Nothobranchius furzeri: one gene and its partner. The protein of the gene in region 1 interacts with the protein of each later gene in a pairwise test. Links are inferred from orthologs where the notes say so. Each region holds a gene or a part of one and is shown on either strand. Other genes may lie near its edges.

Region 1 (3,822 bases):
TAGGTCAAATACAGATGAAATGTATATTTTTTAAAGGGAGATTAGGCAGTTTTGACTTGCTTTTGACATCCCTAAGTGTCCGTTTGTAAAACTGAAAGCAAAACTTATCTCCTCTCTGTGTGTTTGTCTTTTTAACACCTTTATCTGAACAGCTGAAATGTCTCCCCAGCCTTCCTTAGAGTCTACAAGAGTGATTTATCACTAAATTGAACAAATCAGCTGTGTTCATGATCTAAAACATGCTGGAAGCAGACTGCAGCGCCAGGTATGTCAGCTCATTTTTTCCAAGTCCCGCAGACCGGACCGGCAAATCTGAAGTTGCAAGGCGAATATTCTGGCCGCTGGGGGGCGATAAGGCTCGGCGGCCTTTCATTAACCCTGTAAAGCGTTATTTTATCATATAATGGGCCAAGAAAATGATTAGAAAATATGAAAAAGTTGCAAAGTATCCCTTTAAATGCTAAAAACTTAAAAACATTGTCATAATTTGTTTAATCCCAGCTTCTCACACAGTATAGGTTATACAAACGATTCCATAAATCTTTTTATGTTTATGCAAAACAAATGTTTTTCTATATATAATAATGTTGCCCAGTCTTCTAGGGAAAAATAGCCTATTTAGCATTTATATTAAAAAGGAGGTGACTGCTCAGTTTACTTATATTTGAGAAAAAAGGTTTAAAAAGGTCAAAGTTTACAAAGGTATCAGAAACTATTTTGAAAAACCACATTTAGAGTGATAAACTTTGACTCGACATGCTTGTTTTTGAAAGGCTTAAAGCACGATGCCATGATGCAGATCGCTCTGAAACATACTTGAGAGGAAAACCAAAAGCAGGGATAAGTCACAGAGTTTCTGCTTTCCATTAAGTTTGACCTGCGACCTGCTTTCCTCAGATAATCTATGATTTATATCCAAACACGATTAATACACACATAAATAAATCATAGGACAACAGATGCAGCTGGAAGCCTGGCCGAGGCTAACAGACCACCTCAATATCGATACTCACTGATGAGTGTTGACTGTTTCTTTATGAACGCAGAAAACAAGCAAAAATCTGTGTTCAGTGTAAGAAAGGGAAGTTGGAGTTTTAGAAGTTTTTTAATTTTTTTCAAGTTTCAGTAAAGAAAAGAAAAAAAGGTTATTATTTTTGAAGTTTATGAAGTTATTTTTGTATTTAAAATCTTAAAGACATCATAAACAGGAATATTTTTCTGGCTCATTTGGATCTTTTACACTTTTGAACTCAGTGGATTTGGGGGCGGGGCTAGAGGTCTTTGCCTTCACTTCTTCCTCCCTTTGCATCAAACACGTCTAATTGCATTCTTTGAACTACTAAGCCATGCACATATTAATTGCACATGTGGTGCTGGAGCTCATGGGTCTGCAGAAGAATAAACCCATCAGGAGTAAACGCTGAAGTTCAGGCATGCTACCTTTCAGCATTTTCACTGCAACGGTCTTGCAGGTGGAGAGTTTGTCGATTCCAAAGGCGGAAGCTTCCATCACTTTCCCAAATGCTCCGTGGCCCAGAATTTTACCTGGTGAAGAAGGAAACAGTTTGATAAATAGAACGACACCAAGTGTGTCTCTCTGGGGCAAAGACCAACAGAAACGAGTCAGTGTGACCCCCTCCCATCAGGAGGCCACTGGAGCTCTCATGTGGCAGTTTTTCAAACAAATTTATGGTTGACTTGAGTCAGGGTGACAGCAGAGGTCAGATATAAATGATGACCCAAAGCTGCAGCTGCAGGGGGGGCACATCCATCATGTATCTTAATGTCCTGTTTGAAAACTTTTAACCTTGGGTTAGTTTATTTAGCATCTCAGACCTAAACGACCTTTGAGTTGTTAGATTATCCTTCTGAAAAATGCATTTTTCTGAAGGATAATCTAATAACTCAAAGATCTTTTAGGTCTGAATAAATGGAAATGTAAGACTTGCACTCACCGAGTCGCAGGCGATCACGAGGAAACTCCCATTTGCTGCTGTCGTACTGGAGGAGGTCGTTCTGCTCCTCCAGGGGATACTCATCAGGATCAATGATGATAGACGGACCCATCTTGTAATGAGATGGTTGCTGATGTGTTCAGATACATAAAACAAGGATTACTTTCATTCTTCTTTCATCACACCTAGTTTTGTCTTGTGCTCCCCACACGAGTGAGATTAAGTACATAGAGTTCCCTTCCAGACATGCTGCACAATTTTAAAAAAAATTCTAAATTTATCTATCAGCTTAGCAGCATTTCACAACCAGCTAAACTTTACATTGGTATTAAAAAGAGGAAATGGAGAATTTCACAAATAATGTGAGGAGTAAAGCAACGTCGCCCTCACCCTCCTGAGCTTCCGGATGAACAAGATGAGCATGAGCCAGAGGAAAGTGGCCGCAGCTCCAGTGCACACCAGAATTATCACCTCAATATTTGGCTTCCCATCATCTCCTGAAAGAGAAGAGTGTTTCTGATCAATGAAAGAAATGAACTTTTATTTATGCGTTTTCTGAAACAATTTGTCTGAGAAGCTTCGTGTCCAGCGATGGACTCTGCCTGTTTCCAGCCTGTCGCGGCTGCAGCAGCAGTCAATATTTTAAGACTCATTAGAGACCCTCTTAACACTTGACAGAGGTTATGTCCTCTACAAAAGGGCCCTCCGCCAAAGCTATGATCATAAACCCCAAGAAGGAATTCACTTGGCATTCCTGGCAGCTGCCAATTTTCCATCGGGAGCTTTTTGTCTCAGACCAGAGCAATTTGTAGTGATGAAAAGAAAACACAAGGCCAAAAGGGCCTCTTTGATTTCCCTAGAAACGCAGGATTATAAAAGAAAAAAAAACATTTAACTGCTTGGACTAATTATTCAGTTTGATATATTTATTATAATTTTTATTTGACAGATTGACTCACCGAGCACCGTGACAACAGCACTCGTTTTGGCGAATCCCTCCATGTTTTGGGCCACACACTCGTACACACCCTCGTCATCTTTCTTCACTCTCTCAATGATCAGAGTCCCGTCCTCCTGCAGGCTGACACCTGACGCCCAGACATCAGAGACATGAAATCAGGTCAGAATTATTTGGATTTCTACTGTAACTGCAGGCTGGACAAAGTTGTTTTGACAGTTTGCACTTTCATTCTCTGTGAGGATAAAAAAGCTCTTCTGTTTTAGGAAGTAGTAGTTAGCCAGGGAAGAGAGGAGCAGAAAACGGCAGCATTTGGAGTATAATCCCTACTTCACACTGGAAGCATTAGCAGCACAGAACGTCACTGCTTCCAACATAATCCATTAGAGTCAAACCAGCCACAATGCAGACATTTTCAGGTGTGTCCCAGAAGCGGCGCACCGCATCGCTAAAGATAGGATCGGGTTTTGTTTTGGCAGCGAGTCGCTTCTGGGACACGTCAATTTCTGCAGTTAACATGGGCTAGACAGGAAATCACACATGGTTTTAGTGTAAAATCACTGGTAATTTTAAAAATAAAAGACTATTGCAGCAGTGCAATTTCATATCTATGTAGATTACATCAACACAAGTGACCTAACGACTTATTTACTCCTAGCATCGTTCCAGCCATTCGAACACGACTCCTTCACTGCCTCCAGTCACTCTGCATCACTGATGTTTTATCTCCGCAAATAACACAAGCCTGAAGGAGTTCTGTCTTGTTATGAAGTTTCTAATGCTAACAGTTAGCTTCTACTAGCCTAGAGGTTCTCTGCCATTCCCTGGACACTATGCCTTCCTCGTCACGAGCCAAGATGGGTGTGTCCATGAATGTTAAGTGACAGTGTGACGTAGATCTGACTGTTT
Region 2 (3,822 bases), on another chromosome or scaffold:
CTCTGCATCTCGTCGGCTCATGCGGCTGTGGTACCAAGGCTCCCTGCGGAGCTGCTCCTCGTTTGGGGCAACGGGAGCTCTGCGTCTTGGTGGACTGGGCCACTGGTCCTCCAAGTTTCGAACACCTCCCACCTGAGAGCCAGGACCTCCTGGTACACTGGACCCAACAGCTCCACCACAGGCCTCGTGAAGCTTCAGCGCATCCTCAAAAGGTCCTGCAGATACAATGTTTAATAAACACATGCTGGTGATGGCACTAAGTCAAGCAGGTCATGGTAATCCATAGAGAAATTTGAACAAAGGCAACTGGACTTCTTTAGTTTCTTAAAGACGTTTTGCTTCTCATCCGAGGAGCTCTGTGAATTCTGACTGGAATATGGGAGTCAAGCAAGAAAATTGGTCTATCCAAAAGACCAAACACCCAAACAGAAGCTTAGTGCCATCGTTTAAGCAGTCCAATGTAGTGAGGAATGTCCAGATCTTTACATTGGGGAAACTAAACAACAACTACACAAGCGCATGGCACAACACAGAAGAGCCACCTCATCAGGTCAAGACTCTGCAGTCCACCTACACCTGAAGGACAAGGGACACATTCTGGACAGAGTAGTTAGATGTTTTGAGAGAGGAATAAAAGAAGCTATCTATGTCAAATGGGAAAATCCTACATTCAACAAAGGAGGAGGATTCAGGTTTCACCTTTCCAGTACTTATAATGCAGCTCTAAACCTAATTCAGTCTAGGTCACATCCTGCTGCTAATCAAAACAACCATTCTCACACAATAGAGCCTAACGACTTATTGGGAGGTGGGGAGGAGGGGTATTCAGAGGGTGTTTCTGCTTCTTAACTCATTCACTGCCACTGACGACTAAAGTCGCCATTTTAAATCCAACTGCTTGCTGCCTAAACTTGTCAATAGTGTTTTTAATGGGGCGAGCTTGGGAGCGAGCTTGCTCACCTTGATAGTAAACATCACGGCTCGAAAGTTGACTTACGTACATCTGTATGTGTCACACATCACATGATCAGGTATGAGGAAGTCGTTTTGGGATGGAAAAGCTGCAGCTCACACTTACGACAACAGATTGTGAAAGAACAGAAAAAGCTAAAAACATGCTGATTATTCCAGATGTAAGAAGTGAGTTTACTCTTTCTTTTGGTAGTTTTGGTATTTACGTGGTCATAGAGCACAATATTCTGTGACTCTTCAAAAAACAGTTACAAGCGCTCAAAAACGCTTGCAGCCAGGGGCTCTCTGATCAGGAAACAGCCAGCAGTTTAGCAACAAAAGACAGCTACAGTTTAAAAGTTTGGCTCTCCCATATTCCAGTCAGAATTGATGGAAATGAGAAGCGAAAAGTTTTCTAGAAACCAAACATGTCCAGCTGCCTTTTTTGGATTTTATTAGTTTGTTGCGGTTTTTCTATTCATTTTTACATACGCTTATTGTTAAAGCACTCACTCATGTCAAAAAGGTCTTTTTTGGGACTGTCATGTGCCTTGGCCCCTTTGTGTCCCTCTGCACCCTGTGTGAGAGATTCAAGGTTCTCCAGACTCTGGGTGTTTACGTACTGGTGCTCCTCGTAGTCTTTGCTGCCTGAAGGCTGACCATCAGCACACAGATAACCATCTGACATCAGAGAAAAAAAACAACAGCTCAAGAACATTTCTCGCCTCAAGCTGGATGAATTCTGATCTGCATTCTTGTGCAATAGTACAATAGAATGTTTTCATATTTATTTTCATATTTATTTTTTACTTTAGCCACTTCAGCAGGCAGATTATACCTTTTGAAATGTTTTACTTTAAACCCACTACAACCTAAGTAAATCATGCAATTAGAGATAATTGGTGAGATAACTGAATTGCTGAATAAGTGTAGTGCCTGAGGTTCCCCTTAAACCCTTTTAAAATTGTGACTATATAAATCTGAATTCTACAGTTTGATTTGTGCAATTTTGAAAATGTCGTGAAGGGATCTTTTGAACACACACACACACACACACACACACACACACACACACACACACACATATATATATATATATATATATATATATATATATATATATATCCTGAGCAACAAGCACACATGTACATCATTTTCAAATGTTATGAAACCCTTTTATGTAACCATTTCCCCCATTTTTGACAAATCAAAAGAGTTAATTAAAATCGGGAAGATGCATTTTGCTTCTTTTCCATTAGAAATAACAGATTACACAACATGAGAGAAAATCTGACACATTCCCAGAAATTCTAATCCTATTAATGTGATTCCGAGAACACGCCAAACAGCAAAACCTTGTTTCTGCAAGTTGTGAAGTAAATCTTTTTTTCCCACCAGAAAGTGCAGTAATTACCACAAATGTTCCACAACACAGTTAAAAAAATATCCAGGCTCCACAGCCTTCCACCCCTCAAACATGGTTTTGAAGTTTGCAGATGACACCACCATAGTGGGTCTCATAACAAACAACGATGAGACCCTCTACAAAGAGGAGGTACAGCACTTCACTCAGTGGTGTTCTTTGAACAACCTGGTGCTTAACGCCAGTAAGTCCAAGGAGGTCATAGTGGTCTTCAGGAGGTTCAACAGGACAGAACACCCACCTCTACTCATTTGAGGGGAGCTAGTAGAGCGTGTAGACAACATCTAATTCCTGGGCATCCACATCACCTCAGATCTAACTTGATCACTGAACACTTCCTTTCTGGTAAAGAAGGCCCAGCCAAGACTCTTCTTCCTTAGGAAACTGAAGGGAGCCGGTCTCTCCCCCCAACTGCTAAAGAACTTCTACAGAGCCACGATTGAGAGCATCCTATCACTCAGTATGACGGTGTGGTATGGGAGCTGTACCGTCCAGAACAAAAAAGACATGGCCAGGGTGGTGAAAACTGCTCAGCGGATCGTGGGGAGCCCACTACCAGATCTGGACTCAGTATATACCATCCGACTACAAAGGAAGGCTAACTGTATCGCTGCTGATTCCTTCCATCCAGGTCACAAACTGTTTATGCCGCCACCATCCAGGAAACGTTACAGGAATATCAAGGCCACAACCACCAGGATGAGGAACAGCTTCTTCTCTAGAGCTGTTAAAGCCCCCCCCCCCCCAGTCATTCTCCACCGTCATCCTCCCCCCCCCACCTCTGTGACCCTGCAGATACCTACACTCCCAACCAATGACCCATGAGACTGTTAGAATTTTAATGATGGGTTGGTTGTAATTTACAATGATCCTGTTTTTTCATGCTGCTATTGTCCTGTTCACTTGAATCGTCTATGTGCAATAACAAGCAGTGCAATAATATCAATCAACATGTCGATCAGTACGATCAGAATACCAGTCAGCGCAACGTTTATCTTTTATATCTTTTAAATGATTCCGCTTTTTTACTCAAGTGTGTGTATGGCTCCCTAAAGGGAAGGTTATGTATTGTTCTTTTTTTTACTCTTCATGTTTTTATCATTCTATTTGTGGTCTTAGTACCCTTTAAGCTGAGAGCTACCAACATAATTTTGTTATGTGTATGCATAATGGCAATAAAGAATTCAATTCAGTTCAATTCAATTCATATGTAACTAATTTAGGAAAACAAACAAACTTAAAAACATCAGAATCTCATAGAAAATGAACACATCGAGTCTCTAATAAAGAGCATTTTTAAAATTCTTAACCCTCTGGAGGCAGGCGTTGCAGATTTGCAACGTTAAAACCTACCTATCTGGTTACTCGACATACTGTACGTATTTCATGAGCATTTTTTTTACTCAGAAGTACCCCTGAAGGACTTAGTTGTTCGTTCTTTTATCAAA

What was found.
Region 2: the proteins of kdrl (region 1) and shc2 interact in a two-hybrid assay, tested with the Homo sapiens proteins (2 studies listed by BioGRID). The link is inferred for Nothobranchius furzeri from reciprocal best matches to the Homo sapiens genes FLT1 and SHC2.

What each region holds. Positions count from the first base shown.
Region 1 is NC_091741.1:84,332,200-84,336,021, reverse strand, and holds part of kdrl (vascular endothelial growth factor receptor kdr-like), read right to left. Parts: intron 3,044-3,822; coding exon 2,915-3,043; intron 2,453-2,914; coding exon 2,346-2,452; intron 2,086-2,345; coding exon 1,956-2,085; intron 1,546-1,955; coding exon 1,441-1,545; intron 1-1,440. UniProt on the Homo sapiens protein: Tyrosine-protein kinase that acts as a cell-surface receptor for VEGFA, VEGFB and PGF, and plays an essential role in the development of embryonic vasculature, the regulation of angiogenesis, cell survival, cell migration, macrophage function, chemotaxis, and cancer cell invasion.
Region 2 is NC_091748.1:54,777,353-54,781,174, reverse strand, and holds part of shc2 (SHC-transforming protein 2), read right to left. Parts: intron 1,633-3,822; coding exon 1,465-1,632; intron 216-1,464; coding exon 1-215. UniProt on the Homo sapiens protein: Signaling adapter that couples activated growth factor receptors to signaling pathway in neurons. Involved in the signal transduction pathways of neurotrophin-activated Trk receptors in cortical neurons.